Linked DNA regions of Caenorhabditis elegans. The protein of the gene in region 3 purifies or fractionates together with the protein of the main gene of each other region. This does not show direct contact. Each region holds a gene or a part of one and is shown on either strand. Other genes may lie near its edges.

Evidence for each region. Proteins that work in one complex are often made in the same cells at the same time.
Region 1: the proteins of symk-1 (region 3) and cpsf-2 fractionate together in Caenorhabditis elegans (co-fractionation; one large-scale study listed by BioGRID). This does not show direct contact.
Region 2: the proteins of symk-1 (region 3) and C16C10.4 fractionate together in Caenorhabditis elegans (co-fractionation; one large-scale study listed by BioGRID). This does not show direct contact.

Annotation. Positions count from the first base shown.
Region 1 is NC_003283.11:7,177,472-7,185,107, reverse strand, and holds cpsf-2 (putative cleavage and polyadenylation specificity factor subunit 2), read right to left. Parts: upstream 5,937-7,636; 5' UTR 5,901-5,936; coding exon 5,739-5,900; intron 5,687-5,738; coding exon 5,588-5,686; intron 5,542-5,587; coding exon 5,235-5,541; intron 5,184-5,234; coding exon 4,988-5,183; intron 4,936-4,987; coding exon 4,267-4,935; intron 4,206-4,266; coding exon 3,485-4,205; intron 3,438-3,484; coding exon 3,276-3,437; intron 2,577-3,275; coding exon 2,474-2,576; intron 2,427-2,473; coding exon 2,314-2,426; 3' UTR 2,250-2,313; downstream 1-2,249. Other genes in the region: lgc-39 (Ligand-Gated ion Channel), read right to left, coding at 6,418-6,509, 6,559-6,673, 6,734-6,868, 7,115-7,422, 7,508-7,636. UniProt on the Caenorhabditis elegans protein: CPSF plays a key role in pre-mRNA 3'-end formation, recognizing the AAUAAA signal sequence and interacting with poly(A)polymerase and other factors to bring about cleavage and poly(A) addition.
Region 2 is NC_003281.10:4,169,637-4,174,472, reverse strand, and holds C16C10.4 (putative histone deacetylase complex subunit SAP18), read right to left. Parts: upstream 3,138-4,836; 5' UTR 3,134-3,137; coding exon 2,952-3,133; intron 2,827-2,951; coding exon 2,646-2,826; intron 2,546-2,645; coding exon 2,408-2,545; 3' UTR 2,250-2,407; downstream 1-2,249. Other genes in the region: Argonaute protein hrde-1, read left to right, coding at 1-263, 311-1,259, 1,305-1,495, 1,545-1,704; E3 ubiquitin ligase rnf-121, read left to right, coding at 3,534-3,584, 3,657-3,836, 3,889-4,043, 4,087-4,223, 4,274-4,365, 4,424-4,575. UniProt on the Caenorhabditis elegans protein: Acts in transcription repression. Involved in the tethering of the SIN3 complex to core histone proteins.
Region 3 is NC_003283.11:8,566,820-8,575,266, forward strand, and holds the start of symk-1 (DUF3453 domain-containing protein), read left to right. Parts: upstream 1-3,491; coding exon 3,492-3,611; intron 3,612-3,753; coding exon 3,754-6,535; intron 6,536-6,582; coding exon 6,583-6,710; intron 6,711-6,982; coding exon 6,983-7,239; intron 7,240-7,286; coding exon 7,287-7,416; intron 7,417-8,242; exon of another isoform or gene 8,243-8,447. Other genes in the region: F25G6.9 (Signal recognition particle 14 kDa protein), read right to left, coding at 1-1,411, 1,489-1,700, 1,753-2,357, 2,407-2,651, 2,699-2,810, 2,853-3,006, 3,059-3,136.

The sequences.
Region 1 (7,636 bases), 1.4 Mb from region 3:
ACCACTATCGTTTCTTTTTATAGACCTTTGTTTTAGTCTGTCGTCTCGAATGGGAGGAGAATGGTGGCGAGTGTGAAGTAGCTCTTATCGTTACTGAAAAAGTAAGAGTTTTCAACAAAACTTAAGAAGACAAAAGAGCGAACATACCGAAAAAGTAGGGAAACGATTAAATTGGTCCCGGATTAAATCTTGAAGTAATCGAATATTAAAAATGATGTGAATTCATAAATAATAATAAAAAATTCCACGAAAATTTCCGACCGGGTAGTTTACTGTGGAGTCACGTAAAATGATTCGCTTTTCAGTGACAAACATTTCCTTGAACTGGTTTGTTCTACTGAAACTACCGCACTTTTGAGCAAAGTACACTCAAAATATTCATGAAATGTCGGACAAAAGTTTAAGCGTTTTTGGGTGGTTTTTCAAAAATTTCAAAAAAGCATATGTCACAAACTAATAAGAACACTTTTAACATACAAAATATTGGTTCTAGCTTAACTAAACTTTCACAAAGTTGCAAAATGTTTGCAGATCTTTTCCTCTAAAAACCTGAGTCAAAAACATATGAACTCCCAGATTTGGTATCTAGATATGAATATTAATAAAGTTAGTTGTGGCAAAGAAACATTAGAAACTCCTGTGCATACCTAAACCGGCTACAACTACATTCAACTTTTGTAATAATTGAGATGCTCTGATTTAGTGAAATTCCCATGAGGTTATAAAACTAATTATGGACCATTATTCAATCAAAGTACAGTAACCTTATACAAACTCACATTCAAAAAAACACAAGACAACGAACACAATAGTTTTCATAAATAAACCAGTTAAAAAATCCAGTTAAAAATAGTCTCAAATAGCTACTATCGATCCTTTTGTACTCATGGCCACTCTTGCAAACAATCACAACAAAGTTATTTAAAAAATTGCATGTAAATATATTCAAATATGATCTACGCTAACATTTTACACCTGAACATGTGCAGGCAACTTTGTTTGGAATTGAGTCAATATGAGAGTTCTCAAGACAGTAAGAAGGCTGAACTGCAAACTGTTAAACAAAAGTCTTCGGGGTTCCAGTTCTCGCTTTTCTACGAGTTGCTTCTCGTGCCGAGACCCATCCTAAAGCACGGTTCAAGTTTAAAAATTGAATAAAAAACAGAACAATAGTCTTGAATCTAATTCTGAAATAAAAATGAAAAAAAAAAGGTAATACCCCCATAATGTTATCCTTAAACAAATAGATAATAATATTTTTTTGTTTTCTTCCCATTTCTCTGTTCCTATTCAAATTAGTACTTCTCATTAAAAATAAGTGTGTTTGTGATAATATTACTTTGAAAACTGATTTAAACCCGTTTTTGTTACGATAACAAAAACTTTTGAAAATGCGTATTTCGCAACATATTTGCCGCGCAAAATATCTCGTAGCGAAAACTACAGTAACCCTTTAAATGAGTACTGTAACGCTTGTGTCGATTCACGGGCTAGATTTTTGAAATAGATTATTCTTTTCGATTAGTGACATCGATATTCAATTTGCCTCTTTTTAATTTTAATATTATATCGATTCATTTCAAAAATCAAGCGCTACAGTACTCATTTAAAGGGTTACTGTAGTTTTTGCTGTGAGATATCTTGCGCGTCTAATATGTTGTGCAATACGCATTCTCAGAAATTTGTGTTTTCCCGTAATAACAGAAAAAAGATCAAAACTCATGTATGTAAAAAGGTGTCTTTTCCGGTGCAAAATCCTATTTTTAGACATTACCACGAACTCGTAATCAGTCTACGAAAACGATTAGATGGTTCTTATCAGAAAAATTAGAATCGGCTCATTGAGCTCCCATGAGAATCCGTATACATTTGAAATGTCGAACAAAAAATGCTTCGACTTTTTGATCTTCCAAAAAAAAATTTAAAAAAAAAACTTCCGCCGAGCCTCAAATGTTTACAAAAAACATGATGATATAAATAATCGACTTATTTTTGCCTGTTCACGTCACCTGAAAACAATGAAAAATAGTACAATGGTGTCTGTTTGTGATTGATTTCAATTGTTTATCACATGCTCTACATTTCTGAAAACAAGGGGGAAAGTCGGCGTGTGCTCGTCGATTTTTTATGAGCACGGTTTCCTTGACATTCTCCCGAATTTCCAACAAATTCATACAACTGGAGGCGAATTTCTCGCGGTTTTATCTGAAATGGAATGCGGCGACCTAGCTACTGAAAGAAGTCAAAACTTCTTGGAAAAAAAATTTTTTTATTGAGAATTTTGTGGAATTTGAAAAAGTATATGAGATCATTTTACAAGACAGCGAACTGATCATAGAAGAGACGACGAAGTTTGTAGTAGTCTTTGGTGAAAGCACCTTCCATTTGGAAGACTCCAGTATCATTACGACGAATCGAACAATTTCCTGTAAAATAATATTGTGCGGTTGGCAGTGTGCCAAGTTGTGACTACCTCCGTTGATAAGAAGAGTTCCGCTGAGAAATTCTGCCTTGTACCCTTTGTCTGTGAGAAGGTTTTTGAAGTCGGAAAGTTTCGGATCGTTGACAAAGACAGCCTGAAACAAAAAGTTGAATCTATAAAATGGTTTTTTGATTTTTAAAAATTTTTCAAAGATCAGGTTCTCTCTGACGTCAAACTAGAGAAATGCACAGAACAATTAATATTATTGTTATCAAATGGAGCACTTAGTATGATTGCGTGGTGAAAAGTTTGTGCGTAATAAACGGCCGGATTAGTGACATTTTTGAAAATTGATGGAAACAATGTGACTATTTTTAGAGAATATTGATATTTTCTCGCCGGAAACATTAAATGACCATGTGAGGGTTCTTAGATTTTGTTTTTAAAAATACATTGAAAATTGGGAGTTATATCCGAATATCACTATAAAAAATTTGCATGAATAACTTTTTCAATTTTGCAAAAATTAATCAAAATGTTTTTTTAATTCCCGCGCAAATGGAATTTTCGTGTTTTCTGGAAAATTTTCAGATTTTTTTTCAGCTAAAATTTTTTTTATTGTGCAGCAACATACTTTTGCAATATTGCAACAAAAAAAAAACATTTTCAAAAATTCAGAAAAATTGTACAATTTTTCTAACAGTTCGATCTAGATTCGAACGTTACGGCCATGTTTCTACCTTCTTTTTTTCAAAAATTGCGCTGAAAGGTGGTAATAATAGTGGAAATAACATTTTTTCAAATAAAAAAATGGTTAATTTAAAACAAAATCTAAATCATTTTTATAATTTACCTGGTGAATAGGAATTAGCCGTTTCGGTAGAGGATCGAGAATGAGATTTCCACGTATTTTTCCTTTTGTTCCCTTTTTCGTTCGACTATCATTTGTGTGCCCATTTTCAACCTCTTTTCCACTTTCAGATATCGCCAGCGACTCCTGTGAACCGTTTTCACCCTGAAATTCCAAATGTTTTGAAATAGTTTTAAATATTTTCAGCTTACAATTTCCATTGGTTCGGCATTTCCTTCACCCTCCGTGGCTCCGTTTTCTTCTTGATCATTGACGTCTTCCTCTCGATTTTTATCATCGATCATGAGATTAGATGTTCCTACAGCTAGCATATTATCGATGGCTTCTTTTTCCATAACTCTAGCATCGATCCACGCAAGACTATTTCCTTCGGAAACCTCCTTGAACTGAATATCAGCTAAAAGAGCATCACTAAGAGCCACTTGATAAATGAATGATTCAACTGAGGCATCTACAAGTGCTCCGGCTTCCGGAGCTTTCAACATTGTTGTATCAAAGCCGCTATCGGCAAAATAAGCAACAAGATCACGAGTATCGTCTCGTGATCCATGAACTACGATAATCTGCCGAGGAAGTAGTCCAGCAAGAAGTTTCTTTGTCGATTCACCATCAGATATTCCCTCATATTCTATAAATTCAATTCGGCACGAAACTTCGACACGATTCTTAAATTCGACGCATTTCGTCGGCATTTCTTCAACATGATCGTTCGGATTATAAACTTCTTCTTCTTCTTCTCGTTTCTTCACAACTACCGGTTCATCTTTATTTTGTCCTTTCCGTAAATCAATTTTTGAAATCACAGTGTAGTCTTCTGGTTTAATAACTTCTCCATAATCATCCCACTTGACTTTTTCTTCGATATAAGGAAACATTGGAAATGATTTTTTAGTTGTCTTGAAGAATGATGCTCTGAAAATTAAAAAATTAAATTAAAGACAAATCAAACGTATAAAACTTTTATAAAACAAACTTTTGTTGATTATCCCATTTCGCCATAATATCAAAAGTATGCGCATCATTTTCCGAGCCATCAAACGAACGGAAATCTTTTTCCGAATGCCTTGGAACAATTGGAGCAGCAATATCATCATCATCACTGTCATCACTCTCATTTGCCTGTGCCTGTCGTCTAGCTCTTTCCATTCGAAGTCTAGTTTCTTCTGCATCTCTTTCAGCTTTTCTTCGTTTATATTCCAAAAGTTCTTCTCCTTCCAGTGCAACTCTCTTCTTCACAACTAAACTAATCAATCGATCTTCGTGTTTCAGAACACCATCATTTGCTCTTTCAGCCATATTGACAAGCTTTGCAGCAAGAGTGAATGAAGCTGGACGTGCCGTTAAAATCACACCGTTTCTTGGATCAGAACACCAATCGAGGAATAATTCTCTAGAAAATCCTGATTCCATATCCTGACTACTGCACAACACAACTTTCGGAGATCTAACCCTCATCAATTCCTGATGTGAATGACAGAGTGTGACATGTTTCAGTGTGAAAGGATTGTAACGGGCTGAGCTGGAATCATATTTGAAAAGCTTCTCATTCATCCATTCTAATTGAGATTTTGCGAATTGAACAACTGAAGATGCTACATGTGACATCATGACGAGATTATACGTGGATAGACCTGCATCAGCGCTGAAATTTTTATTTTTAATAATTTTTATTTCAAATTAAAAGAATAACTTACTTGGACCATAATTGATCTAAAAGATGCGCCAGCTCGAGAACTCTTCCAGCTGTATCGATTACAATCATACAATCTCCTTTTTGACGTACTGTTCGTAAAATTTTCGTCACCAACTGCTCGTCTCGATCTTTTCGTCGCATTTGCGGAAGTGAAATGTGATGAGCTCCGGTAATTAGTAAATGTGGTCGGTTGAAATCTGGAAATATAAATATGAAATTTATCTGAATATTTAAAAGAATTAACATACTATCAAATGAGCATCCATTAAGATGTCGTTCTTTTTTATGATTGAAATCAACACAATAAACAATATCTTCTCCAGTCACTCGACAAATTCTCCAAATGGATCCTCCTAACATGTGCCCGGCAGGTAATGCTGTGAAATGAACTCCAGAATCTCCTTTTAAAACGACTGTCTGATTATATTTCACTTGCTCGACTTTTTCGAAAGCTGTATCTACATCATCGAGAGTATAATGCTCAAATTCTTCTACATCCAAATGACTGTAAACCATATCGTAGATGAACATTTGACCCATTTTATATACCGGCACCTAGAACGATATTTTAATTAATTAGAAAAATGTAAATTAAACAAACCGTCGCGTAGACAGGAGCTGTTAAACCACATTTTGAAACTAAATATGGTAGTCCGCCAAGATGGAGAGGATCTGGATGAGATATGAGAACTGCACTGATCTAGAAAAATTATATGTTGAGAATTTAGAAAGTTGAATATATATGAGCTTACTTTGGGAATAAAAGGTTTTAATTCTTCAAAATATTGTAACCCGAATCGCTCATCCCAACCACAATCCAATAGTATATAATCACCATCCACTTGTAAAAGGTAACAAAGAGGTCCTTCGTCTTTTGCACCGGAAAACACTTTCAATTTGATAATGGAGGTCATTTGATGTGTCTTTTAGGTTTTCCCGCTGTTCTGAAAATATTCAAATTAAAAAAAAAAATTGCGATAAAATAACAGCTTTTTGAAGCATAAAACAAATAATTTTCGCAGGAGACCGCAAAAAAATATTTTTGAGTTTTCCACTGAGTGTGCAAACACGGATGTGTGTATGCATCACAATTGACGACAATTTATACACAGTACATTTTTGTTCAAGTTCCAAAATACCTGCGAGGATCTCACTAAATTTACGTGACGAAACCGAAAATGTTTTCGGTTTATTTTTTCGAAAAAAAGAACACGACCTTTTTGGAAGTTAATGGATTTCTATCAATATCAGTTTTTCGACCGTTTATGAAAATACACTATATTATACTATTAAAATCTTATGAGTAGGAACACAGAAGAAAAATAGTTTCAAATGTTATATTTAATATATTTATTTCAATTGTTCTTCTATCATAAAGACACATAACATTGAGGAATTATTGCTGTTGATACACATAACACAGTTTCTCAGTCAGCCTTCGGAAGCAGATGATCGCCAAGTGAAGTAGAGCCAGTAGGAAACACAAAATAGCGAAAAAACTGTTGGAAACAACCATCGACTATCTGAAATTGTACTAATTTGAAAATCAAAAGTAGATATACTTAAACCAACATTCGTCAATTTTAAATGCTATTCGTTCGTTTTTCTCCGAGCATCGAGCACATGGTTTGTTGGTGTCAAATTTGGTGAATAATCGAGAAGGAACCGGAGTGACTGACATCAGCGCCTATAAATTATGTACATGTATGATACATGAATACGTGTGACTTTAATAAATTAAACTTACAGATGATTCATTAAGGCATGCGGATATTCCATGAGTCAAAGAAAATTGCTGAGATTTTTTATTCCGATTCAGGTCGGATCCCTCGGTATTATTCGCAATTACTGGCTTGTTGTTATTAACAATCGACTTTCGAGCCTGAAATAGTTTTGGAGTCAGGAAAAAACTTTAAAAAAAAAGTTAAGCTGAACCTAAGCCAAAAAAATTCCAAAGTCTAATTGAAAGCCTAACTGAAGCTTAACCTTAAATCTTTGCAAAATATAGGACCTAAGCCCAAAAGCCTGAGCCTAAATCTAAGTCTAAGCCTAGGCCAACAAGATTATCCTTTAGGAGCTATTCTACTATTACATGTAAGATGAAGCCTAAACAAGCCCGATATCTGACCTTCTCCTCCCTTTTGCATTCCTGTACTCTTTCCTCATAGAACATATTCCGATGTGAACAATCCGTAGTCCTTTTTGTCATATAATACGAAACAAACGAATATTCCAACAATACCAAAAAGATCAACGCTTGCGAGAATGTCAACCATATATCCAATGCTTTGATATAGGAGACCTGCGGCAAATCCTGTCTTGCTCCGTTGCTCATCGTCGTCAAAGTGAGTAATGAGGTGATTGTAAGTGAGATACGTGCTGGACTGGCACGCGGGTCCAACCAGAATGACATCCATGAAATGGAGACGAGCATTCCTGTTTTTTTTTGAAAAGAATCAATTATTTTTATTAGTTGGTCTTCTAGAAAATTGGAAATTGCTTCCAAAATCTCAAAGATTACCTGTGGGAATGTATGTTTGAATTATGTGGAATAGTACAAGTCGTTTCATAACAATATATCCTTGGATGCAGCTCCAAGCAGCTTCACCTCGAAACATTGGGTACGGTCCGGCGCATTTTACAAATCTTT
Region 2 (4,836 bases), on a different chromosome or scaffold from region 3:
GTTCAAGATATTCTCCGCGACAACTTGAAGCTTGAACAAAATAAGTACATGGATGCTTTCGGAATCAAACTGATGTCGACTGAGCCAATCCAAATGACTGCGAAGCTCCTCCCACCAGCTCAAATCAAGTTCAAGGGCCAGACTTACATGCCTGACATGAGCCGTCCAGCGTTCCGCACACAGGACAAGTTTGTCGAACCAGCACGGATCAGAAAAATTGGTATTGTTGTCTTTGACAACTGTATCCAAATGAGACAGGCCGAGTAAGTCGAACGTTGTTTTCTTCTGCTTTATAATATTCTATTTTCAGAGATTTCTGCGACAAGCTGTCCAATTTCTGTCGTGACAATGGAATCACGGTCGAAAAGGACTCGCGAGATTGGTCCATCCGTGAATTGAACTCCAGTGATTCCGTTGCTATCCAAAATCTGATGAAGAAATGGCTCGATGATAGAGTGGACATTCTTGTTGGAATAGCAAGGGAGAAGAAGCCGGATGTTCACGACATACTCAAATACTTTGAGGAATCGATTGGCCTGCAAACAATCCAATTGTGTCAACAGACTGTCGATAAAATGATGGGAGGTCAAGGTGGACGCCAAACGATTGACAACGTCATGAGAAAGTTCAACCTCAAGTGTGGTGGAACCAACTTCTTCGTCGAGATCCCGAATGCTGTGCGTGGAAAAGCAGTGTGCTCAAACAATGAAACATTGAGAAAGAAACTTCTCGAACATGTACAATTCATCGGATTCGAGATTTCTCATGGCGCATCACGCACTTTGTTCGATCGCAGTAGATCACAAATGGATGGTGAGCCATCAGTTGTTGGAGTCTCGTATTCCCTGACCAACTCGACGCAGCTCGGAGGCTTCACATACCTTCAAACCCAAAAGGAGTACAAACTTCAAAAACTTGATGAATTCTTCCCAAAGTGTGTCAGATCGTACAAGGAGCATTCGAAGACACTCCCAACAAGAATCGTCATCTATCGTGTTGGTGCTGGAGAAGGAAACTTCAATCGTGTTAAGGAAGAAGTCGAAGAGATGCGACGAACATTTGACAAGATTCAGCCCGGATACCGTCCACATCTCGTGGTGATCATCGCACAAAGAGCTTCACATGCTCGCGTTTTTCCATCATGTATCAGTGGCAACAGAGCGACGGATCAGAACATCCCATCTGGAACATGTGTCGAGAATGTCCTGACATCCTACGGATACGACGAGTTCATTTTGTCTTCACAGACGCCGCTTATTGTAAGTTGTTCATTAGTTAATTTATTAAATGAAAGTTTCTTTTAGGGTACCGTTCGTCCGTGCAAGTACACGATCCTTGTCAATGATGCCAAATGGTCTAAAAACGAGCTCATGCACTTGACGTACTTCCGCGCATTCGGTCATCAAGTGTCCTACCAGCCACCATCGGTTCCAGATGTTCTTTATGCGGCAGAAAATCTGGCTAAACGAGGACGCAACAATTACAAAATTCATCAGTAATAGTTTATTTTCCTAAAAATCTTTATCAAAAACAAATGTTTCCAGGCGTTACGTGAATTTGCAAGCAGTTGAGAACCGCATCATCAAAGACCATTCGGAACTCATCAACGAAGACATGCGAGAAGAACTGGCGGCAGCCATTGTTGATGAGATGTCCGTTGCAATGAACGGAATGACCATTCCGAAGCGAAACTTCTGGGCGTAATCCCGAGATTCTCTCTTTTATTGTCACGTATTCACCCCCTTTACATATTACCAACATTTTTTATCCACTACCCTATACCTACTCTCTATACAAGTACTTAAATTCCCATGCTTTTGTTTTTCTGAACATTCTTTATTACATTTTTCCCCATAATTGTATCGTATTCCCCTTTATGTTTTTATAATTTCAACTAAGAATCCTTTTGTAATTTAATCTAGAGTAGAGTACATTGACACATAGTTTGAATAGTAGATACTCCTGTTTTACCTGCCTTTTTTTCTGTGCGAATTTCCTCCAACTTTCTTATTAGGAGTTTTCGAAGGCGAAAGAAACTTCCAATTAGAACGTTTTTGGAAATTTCGATTTTCAATAATCTTACTTGCTCTACCCCCCGTCCATTATCATTTATTAAGCAATAAATTATTCGAGAAGAAATTTTAGTTTTCGCTGAAAGCAGTTTGATCGCGATCATTTTTCCGATTTTTGCATAATCACAAAACAAAACTTTTTTAAAATTAAATAGCTTGCAATTTTGACCAGTAAATGTGAAAGTAAACTTTGTTGTAAATTGTTAAGTATGTTGAACAATTGTAAAGGAAAACATGATTTACGCAGAATATTACATTGCACGTTATAAAAAAAAGAATCGACACATTAATAAATACAGAAGAGTATCATTGAATTTTAACACACAGTTAGGCGTCTAGCGAATCGGACTACGTTGGCGTTGACGATGATCGAAACGGTCTCCCTGCTCCCGGTTATTGAAACGACGTCCTTGACTTGGCAAGGAAATCGCGACGTCGACGAAATCACCGACTTCGAATTTGCATTGTTGTAGCTGAAAAACAAAGTTCAATCAAAACGAATTTAATATTGGAGATATTATTTCCGAATTCAAATAAAATTCTAATGGTTCCGTGGTGTCAAAAATCACATACAGTTTTGTTGTCATCAATGCCACGCTCTCCATTCGTCGTGTTTCCCACATCGCGTAGAATGTATCTTGGCGAGCCGCGGTCTGCCTGCACAATAGCGAAATCGAATGTGGTGCCCTTTCTTCTAGCGTCCGGATTCACTTCTTTGATTAGACTGGTCAATTCACGCAGAGAACAGTCCATCCTGAAAATAAAAAAAATACTTCAGGTTAACCAAACTTACAAGTTTGAATGTATTATTGAAAATATTAGACAAAAGTTCTATAATTTCGGCCAAATAGTACTAATTTTTCTATTTCTACCGCGTACCAAGTATGCATTTGAAGTTCGCTGGGTGGAACAGATCCTCCATTTCTACTATTGTACTCGCTCATCGGATTATGACGATTATTAGCAACGAAGACGCGAAGAAGCATCGGACATACTTTCTCACGATCTAATGGTTTATCGTGACCAACTGTCACCTGAGACACGAGTTGACCGTTGCTCATTTTTCTGAAAAAAAAAGATAAATTTGCTCTAAAAAGGGATAATATAAAATATATTTGTTTGGTTATACAGAAAAAAGAGAAAAAAGAAGCAAAACGCCAAAATTTGCATTCGAATGTTTGTGGGCGGAGCGTTCTTTGCAACCCTGGCACACAAGATTTGCAGATATGCCGCGCGCAGATGACATTCTCCTATTTTATTTCGATTTTCACCGCAAATCTTTCTCCGACATTTCCTTGTCGCAAAGTTAACCAACTCAACTATTTTTATCAATTATTGAATTTAAAGTGTTTTTTTCGTTCAATTTTTAAAATTGGTCACTTTCCACGCGGGAGTCCGCTTTACCTTCTCGAAAAATCAATAACGTTTTCCAAAATAATTTCTATTTTTTCAGGCCATAGAATGGGCCAACATGGGGCAATTAGGCTGCAGAATGAAGTTCAGGAAGGAATGGTAAGTATTTATTGATTTTAAAATAGTTTAATTAAAAGTAAAATGATTTCTATTATAAATTTTTATTTTCAGCCCCCTCCACACGAGCTAACAGAAGAAGAACAATGGGCAGAGGAGCACCGAAAAATGCACGAAAAGCATAAAGGACACGAAGCGATGCACATGGAAATGATGGTTATTTTCATGATTTCTGTCATCGTTGGACAGATTTTTCTGGTCACCTGGAAGAGGAAGCATTTTAAATCTTATCAGGTATTTAATTTTATTAATTTTAAACATTTATTTAATATTCAAACATTTACAGATGTGTACATTAATAGGAATGCTCACAATTCCAGTTTATGTTTGTTTCAACCGATCCTGGTATCGATTCCTGGCCACGTGGCTTGTTTTCTGCATTTTTTCAGCTTTTATTTGGTTGAAAGCCTCGGCTCAACATATCAGTGGAGGAACACCAAGGTTTTTAAGAATAAAAAAGACGAATTAAACGAAATAATTTAAGATTCGTCTACAAATGGTTTCTATTTTTGCATAAACTGAGTTATGTACTCGGAGTTGTTGGATATTTGATCATGATGGGAGCTTTATTAGGATTTCATGTTTTATTCGGAGTTTCACAGCCAACACTAATGGATGCCGGTGAGAAATTTTGGAAAAATTTTGAAAAAATCTAATTTTCAAGCTTCCAGGCATCCTTTTCATGTTCTATGGTGTGTATTACGGAGTGCTCGGCCGGGATTTTGCTCACATTTGCACGGCGAGAATGGCGTCGAGAATCGGGGTAAAATACATTTTTCACCTGCTGCCGAAAAATAATCAATATAATTCCAATTTTTCAGTATTACACTCCTGAAGGACTTCCTAAAAAGCATCTAGAAGACGGTGTCTGTGCTGTTTGTGGAGGACGTCTTGATGATTCGGAACATGTTCATGATGCAGATGCTGTGGTTACAACGAAAATGGTTGAAGATGAAGATGAAAAATTGTATAAGTGAGTGGAGAAGTTCAGCAGATTTTTGGAATTTTCACTTTTTTTAATTAAAAAAAAGAATTAATAAGTAGTTTTCCAGTTTTCTTCGAGAATCACCAGAAAGCACCAAATTTTTAAAAACTGATATTATGAAGCTTTTGAACGAATTTTCATCGATTTTTCCACAGTTTTTCGTGAAATTTTTTATTTGATAATTAAAAATTCAAATATACGAATAAAAGTTACACAGAAAAATAAAATCAAGACCTCCGAGAAATTTTT
Region 3 (8,447 bases):
CAATCCATTAAAGAACTTTTCAATACTTTCATCATCAACCAGCTCCGTTTCTTCATACTTTTCTGTCTTCTCGTCAATAACTATATTGTACGCAACTTCAAACGCTTTCGCACTCATCTGACTAGCACCGTAAGCCTCCGCAGTCACCCACATCATTTTTCGATCAGGAATTTCCTCTTTCTTAAGCTCTTTCGTGGAATCTTGCAATAAACTGACAAGCATCCGATCATCAGTGAGTCCAACATCTTCATCATTGTAAAATGCAGCAACACTTGGGTTTAAATACAGAAGACGCAAACAGAATATGGCAGTGAGTAGGGAAGACTTATTTGAATGGGTTATCAATTGATATATTGGCTCATTTTTCGCAACTCGTTTCTCCTTCAAATTTTTCGGCAAGCGGGTAGCAACAAACTCATAAACGGATAACAACCACGGATTCTGAGCCTTGGATACTTCTTCAACTTGTTCATCATTCTCGATGTTTCTAAGCTGTTGATCGATAGCATCTGCCAAAGCTGTGAGCATCATCATTATATTGTCAACTGACTCAGCCTTGTTCGTTAAACTTGTTCGCCCAGTATTGATGATCTGATCTCTTGCCCAGAGAATATCGTTACTTTTCGACTCAGTGAGCACGTGGAGCACTTCTCTGATACATATTCTCCATCCAGCCATCAATCGAATCATTTCATCGTGTGAACTTGCTGGAACAACATTTTCCAAACAGGATTGAAGGAGGCGCACAGATGCTTGAGCCCGATTGGTAGGGCCTGTGAGCTGAAGAATAGATGCAGATAATGAGAGTGAAGCTGACCAGAACCATGGTTCATTCTTATTTTCAATAATCAATTTATCTTTGAAGGTATCCACTTTTGTGAGCAACGGTGAAACATTGACATCCTGAGCACTAGTATTGTATAGTGGTCGTTGGTACGATTCAACTTCTTTGTGCAAACACAGACTCAGGAAGTCGATAAATCCATTTTGAACTTCTTTTCTTAATTTGACGAATAGAGTGGCAAATTGTGCAGGATTTATTTTCAGTCCTTTTTCGAGTTCATCCAATTCAAATGCTCCTAGCGATCTCCACGCTTCTGAAGCAACTGTGTGATTATCGTTTTGTTTGAGATTTGCTAGCTCCTCGATACAAGACATTCTCAAAATCCGAGCCTGTTCCTCGTTTTCTTCAGGGATAGTGGATGTTGATAATAACCGACAATACGTTCCTAATGATTGCTCGCAACCTCTTTGCCTGGCTCTTTTTGTAAGCATGGATCTTGCGCCTATTGTATCAAGAACTCCACACTTGATCAAATCGGTAACAGCATCCACAATGGCAGCCAACCGAGGTCCTGTACATTCTTTTAATGAATTGCTGATCTTTGAAAGAGCTTTTTCGTTGTCTTCCCTGCAAATTCTTTAGTTGAAGTGAGAAATTTCAGGAAATGTGATTTTTGTTTATTTCAGAAATGATACAAAACTTACGTTACTTTGCAGCACTCCTTCAATAAATGAAGCTCCGCATAAAATGATTCGTCGGACCCATCATCCCTCTTCAAGGCGCAGAGACTAGTCATTGGTTCGAACAACTGTGTGAATTTTGGAATGATCTCTGCTAGGCATTCCAATGATCTTACACGATCACCTTCTAAACAAGCAGTGATTTTGAGGAAGCCGAAGGCAGAACTTATGACGAACTGAAAAAAAATAATTATTTTACATTTCTTGAGAACTTTTGAATTTACTCACTCGATTAACAAATAGATCCTTGATAGTTTCGAGAAGCAGGTGCCGGTGTATTGGAAAGAATGGTTTCTGGTATAATGTAATGAAATAGAGCACGAATTGATCCGCATTTTCTGGAGCTTTTTTGACGAACAAGGCTATTAACTTGCAAATTCTTTCTTGAAGAGATGGATTCGTAGATGAATGAGTCAGAAAAACAGTAAGTGCTGGAAGAAGATGAGCTTTTTGAAGGATTCCTAGCGATTCGTGATAGTTCTCAACGTATTTGATGAAAGACGTGACTTTTCCAGTAGCTATCGTGTGATACATGAATGTTTCAAAAGTCAGATCTTGATCGGAAAAATCGGGAGCAGCAAATGAATATGTATCCCTGCATCCACTGACTCGATTCTCCGAAGCAAGTTTATGATCGGCCATTTTTGATTGCTCAACAAGTTTTACAATGACTTGTTTGTACTGACTGAGCATAACCGCGTAAGGTAAGTAGAGAATGTGATTTGGAAGATTTTTACTTTCGAGAACGGCCGGTCTGTCTCGCATCAGTTTATGACGTTGAAATGGATCAATATTATGTAGAGGATGACTGAGAAGATCTTCTGCGGAACATTCTGAAAATTTAATTATTTAGTTAGAAATCAAACAATTAAATATTTTTACCTCTCAAAAAAGATTCCGGGTCATGTTCACTCTCGTGCCCAGTTGGGTACAAATCTGGTTGATGTTTTAAGAACACATTTTGGGCCAATCCACAATTTCCTACTAGCCTTTTCTGACTATCCGATAGCAATCCAGTAAACGAAAGCACTGCGATATATTGATAAAAGTTGTATCCAAACTCGCTGCTAATGCAGATTTTAGTCAAGATTTCACTGTCAATTCTTGCTGCCACGTCCAGAAATTTTCTGAAAAATATTTACCATATACAAAGGAATACACTTTTTGAACTCACGAAAATGACGGTTTACAATGGCTTATCATCATTCCAAAAGCTCTTTGAATTCGACGTATTCTCGGTGCACGAAGTGTAAACTCTTCCCATAGAGTCTCCGGTGAGTTTGATCCTGAAAAAGTTGCTTTAGATTGCAAAAAAAAAGTACGATTACCTCTAATAAGAAGAATTGGCAAAGTGTCAATCAGAAATCTGAATAGTATGTCTTCCTCCACGACAAAGCAATCGAATAGCAGCTTCCGATATTTTTTCTCATCTTTCGCATCTAGTTCTTTGTTGATAATTCGATTGGCAAGAAAACTGAACCCCTGAAAAATGTGTGAGCATTTCTAATAATAGAAGATTTTATCTTAATATTACCTTCGCCTGAACTATGTGACAGCCAGAATGTAGTTGTTCTCTAATATCGACTAAATCCGCGGGTTCCACGGGATTCATGTCGAAAATAGAAAAAAAAATCACTGAAATTTCAGAGAATTCGCAATGAAAAAATGGTCTGAAATGCAGTTTTGGAGGTTCCAATTCATGCACGAGAAACGCGCCAACAAATCGCGAAGTGCGCCAGCAACTGACACTTGGCGCGCACTAAGTTTTTCAATTTCTATTTTTCGTTGAATTTTCTTAAATTTGAATAATTATATATTTCCGTCATTTACAGTTAGAAATTTCTTTAAATAACTTATAATTACAAGGTTGTTAATTGTTATTTATGTCATTTCATACAATTATTCTTGTCTATTGCAATTGCCGGCCCTCATTTCATTTTTTCTGAAGTTACCGTTAAATATTTCAGATGGACTACATCCAGGGATTGAACGAGGAGAATGAAACGGCGAGTGAACGAATTGGAGAGGCTTTAAAAGAAGCTCGAGATGCGGAGACTATCGAAAAGAAACTTCTTTCTCTTTCTACAGTAAGTTTTTACAAATGGTTTTCTACCAAAATTTTAATTACTTTTTGTTGTGTTTTTGGAAATAAAAAGAACAGTTTTTCAAAGAACTAAAACAAAAATCTACCGGGAAATGACTAGTCGATATTCAATTATTTAATTACAGGCAATGCATCTGCTCATCGACCCGAGTCTCTCAATCAGTATTCTCGACAATTTTCTAACCGAAATGCTGGAATTCGCAGAGCTGAACGACTCAAGGATTCTATGCCTTCTCGTCGATTTTCTTCTCAAAGCAAGCGCTAAAGACTTCACGTTATGTAACAAAACTGTCGAAAGATATAGTTTTTATCTTATTCCCAATAAGTCTATTAAACGATATGAAAGTGTTATAAAACGAGTTGTCGTTGCATCAACAAACTTATATCCGATCGTTCTTGAATTCGCAATCATGGATAAAAATGACAACGCGGAGAGCTGCTGGGATGCTTTTAATTTGCTCAAGAATCGAATTTGTATGCTGGTTAGCGATGATCACGAAGGAGTCCGAACTGTTACCGTAAAGTTTCTGGAAGCTCTTATTTTGTGTCAATCTCCAAAGCCAAGAGAGTTGGCCACTGGTAGCAACATAAGCTGGGCAAGAGAGGCAAATACTAGATTCAATAGGATTTCTCTATCAGATGTTCCACGAAGTCATAGATTCCTATCCTATCATAAAACCCAGTTGGAAGCCGAGGAGAATTTCAGTGCTTTACTAAAGCAAACAACAGTCGCGGAAGCAACATCACAAAATCTTATAACAGTAATTGAATCACTCTGTATGATTACTCGTTGTCGACCTCAATGGGAGAATGCGTTGCCACGTGTCTTCGATGTTATAAAAGCTCTTCATTCAAATGTACCACCAATGCTCAGCAAGGGACAAGTCAAATTTCTGAGAAAATCATTCAAATATAATTTGCTACGTTTTTTGAAATTGCCTGCATCTGTTCCTCTCCAGCAAAAGATCACCACAATGTTAACAAACTATCTGGGAGCTTCACCCAGAGAAGTACAACAGTCGATTCCACCTGAACTGATTCAAAAAATAGCACCGCCACGGCCACCACAGCATCCTGCAGAACCAGTTGCCAAACGTCCCAAGATTCAAAATCAAATATTCGAAGATGATGATGATGACGATGACGAAGCAGGACCATCCACTAGCACTGTAAATGCAAAGGATGCGAGAACTGAAGCCATCGATATGACAGCCAAATTTATTATGGAATGCCTGAATCATGAAACTGTCATGAATCTTGTCAAGATCTCACTCTACACTCTACCGTCAGAAATGCCAGCTGCATTCGCATCATCATACACACCAATAGCAAACGCTGGAACAGAACCGAATCGTCAAGAATTATCAGAACTAATGGCTGTTCAAATGACGAACAAAGAAATTGGACCGGGATATGAGTGGTTGCAGCAACAAAGGAAAAAAGAATATGAAGCAAGGAATAAGGCAAGAAGTGAAGGAATGGCAATCGCCCAAACACCAATCCACGAACCGAATATGAGCAATCGCGTTCCAGCCCAGATTGTCAAACAGTCACTTCAAGAAATTAACACTCTTCCGGTCATTCAAAAAGCGAAAAAGGCGTTCAACTTGGTAGAAGAAGCCGTTGTATTTGACGATAAAGAAGCTGCGGAGATGTTTGAATTAGCTTATGAATCAGTTCTTCAAGCAGAACGGCGAGTTGTTGCTGGTGGAGCAAGGTTGATGTATCAGAAATTAGTTGTCCGGCTGACGACTAGATTCTGGGAAGATTGTACTCCATTTGAAGAAAAGTTGATAGAATTCGTTTTGGCTGATCATAAAAAGAGAAATGATTTGGCGCTTCTATGGCTCTGCGAACTTTACGCACAATATCAAGGCTACTCGAACTGTGCTCTCTTCATGAAGGAAATGATCGCTGGACAAGAAGGACTTACCCAAGCACAAAGATTGGATCGATATGATCAAGCAATGTGCAAGATGCTTGACGCAATGTTGGAAAGAAATATGGAAAAAGAAGCTCTCTTTTATAAAGTTCTACTAGAAACACCACTTTTGACTCCGAATGCAATTGAAAGATTGAAGCAAGTGTGTTTGGCTAAAGAAAATGAGCATGGAATGGCGATGCTCCGTGAATTGATCATGACACGAAATCGACAACGTCCGCAACTTTTGCAATTCCTTTTTGGCCTGTTTTTCATGGAAAGACCGGAACTTCGTAGTTCATGCCTAGAAGTTGTCAAGGAACTGTGTTATCTTCCATTTATCAGAAGCTCCTTGAGTGATCAGGCTAGAATGCAAATTCATGATTGTCTACAAGAAAGTCCTCCAATGTACATGCGAAGTTCTGAGGATTCTGATCAATGGACTGATGAAATGTACAAGAACTCGTTGGCTGTATACTCTACTCTGATGCCATCTGACCCATTACTTCTGATCCCGTTAGCTTCAGTCTACGCACAATCTACCAATGTCTTCAAGCGAGTTGTACTCCGCTCATTGGAACCTGTATTCCGTCAATTGAGTCAAGAAATGGTAATATCATTAATAGAAGATTGTCCATATGGTGCTGAAACTCTTGTTGCTCGTTTAGTCGTTCTTCTAACTGAAAGAATCACGCCGTCAACTGATTTAATTCAAAAACTGAAAATTCTTCACGACGAACGAAAAATGGATATTCGTGCTCTTCTACCAATCATAGGAGGACTTGAACGAGAAGAAGTTGTCAGACTTATTCCAACATTCATTTTCCGTGCTGAATATCAAAAGTCAGTGAATGTCCTATTCCGAAAGTTATATACCGTCCGTGATCCACAAACCGGAAATCTCGTGTTCGATCCAATTGAAGTTATCAAAGAGTATCACAAGATTGAGCCCAAAAATGATAATGAAGCTGAATTACTTGTTAACAGTAAGTTATACCATTTTAAACAGTAACCTTAAAAAATCATTTTTCAGATCTCGAGTTCCTTTTCGATCCAGCATTGTTGAAGCCAGATACCGCATCCCAAGCTATCGAAGCTGTTTTCAAATGGGAAAATGTTCCATTTCTATTTCTACACTCTCTTTATACTCTTTTTCATAAGGTGAGTATTATTTTGTTTTCGTTTGGCTATATTTCCAGTAAATCAGTATATTTTTTTCTGGAAATACGAAAAATCAAAAAGAAAATGTTCAGAAAGGTGACTTTATAATTCAGTTTTTATAAAATTTCGTTTATGCTAATGAAAAAACAAAAAGAAAAAAATGACCAATATTTTAACCTATTTTTTCTCGAGAAAATCGGAAAAAACGAAAAAAAAAATTTTAAAGTAATAATCGAAAAACAACACCCTTGATGAATTTTTCCTATTTTCAGTTCAAAACATTCGAATCGTTCGTCGCAAATCTGTTCTACAAAGTAACTGAAAAGAAGATGTATCAACAATCGGATCGATGGAAGCAGGCATTTTTCAAATGTATCAAAGAATTGAAAACCAAAGCGTATCCAGCGGTTATCACATTTTTGAGTTTTGAAGAATACGAAGAGCTAAAGGAAGTTTTAGGAGATGGAATTGTCGCAGAATTCAAAATAATTTATTCAACACTTGCAACACAACAGCAGAAGAATATGGAGTAAGTTTTCATGAAAATTAGATAATTCTTAATTGTAATAATTTCAGCGAGAAAATCAAAGAGGAGTTGCATGATAAAGAACGAGAAAATCGTGAACGAGATAAGCGACTTCGAAGAGAAGAGAAAAAGGAAAAGGAAAGAGAAAAGGAACGAACTCGCGAAAGTGGAAAGGAAAGAGTAAGTTGGCCTTTAAAAACTGAAACTCCTCTTTATTTTGTCAAATTTTAAATCTCTTAAAAAATGTTAACCTTTATTAGATTTTTTTGCTTTACTATACTCAAGATGTGCCCAAATTTTGTAATGAAACGTCCTAAAAATTTCTCAAATTTTTTTTATTTCTAAAAAAGCTAATTTTAGCTAAAAACCTCCAATTTTGTCAATTTTTCTGTTTTGAAGCGGTCGAAAACGGTGCTGAATCCAAAGTTTTTCTTCGAAACCGAAAAAATCGAAAACACAAAAAATTTTGTAATTTTATTTTCAAAAAAGATTTAAGTTTTTGTTCAAAAGTGCACCCTAGTTGTATTTTGGAGTGTATTTTTTTGGAAAACGTATGAAGTTAAAAATTATGAGTTTTAAAGTTGAATTGTCGTTTTTTTTTTCTCGCATATTTTTCGAAAAAAAAACGAAAATCAAATTTGTCGCAAAAAAACACAAAAAAAAAGGCAAATGCTCTTTTACTACCTCATCTTTTACTACGTTGCTCTTTTACTACGGTTTACTCTTTTACTACGGCCGTATTTTTTACTACGTTTTCCAATTTCGATCTTTTGCTACAATTTGTATCTTTTACTACGGCCGTATTTTTTACTACGTTTTCCAATTTCGATCTTTTACTACAATTTGTATCTTTTACTACGGCCGTATTTTTTACTACGTTTTCCAATTTCGATCTTTTACTACAATTTGTATCTTTTACTACGGCCGTATTTTTTACTACGTTTTCCAATTTCGATCTTTTACTACAATTTGTATCTTTTACTACGGCCGTATTTTTTACTACGTTTTCCAATTTCGATCTTTTACTACAATTTGTATCTTTTACTACGGCCGTATTTTTTACTACGTTTTCCAATTTCGATCTTTTGCTACAATTTGTATCTTTTACTACGGTAACTTTTTTTACTACGTTTTCCAATTTCGATCTTTTGCTACAGTTTGTATCTTTTACTACGATTAACGATTTTTTACGGCCTAATGAAAAAAAAAGA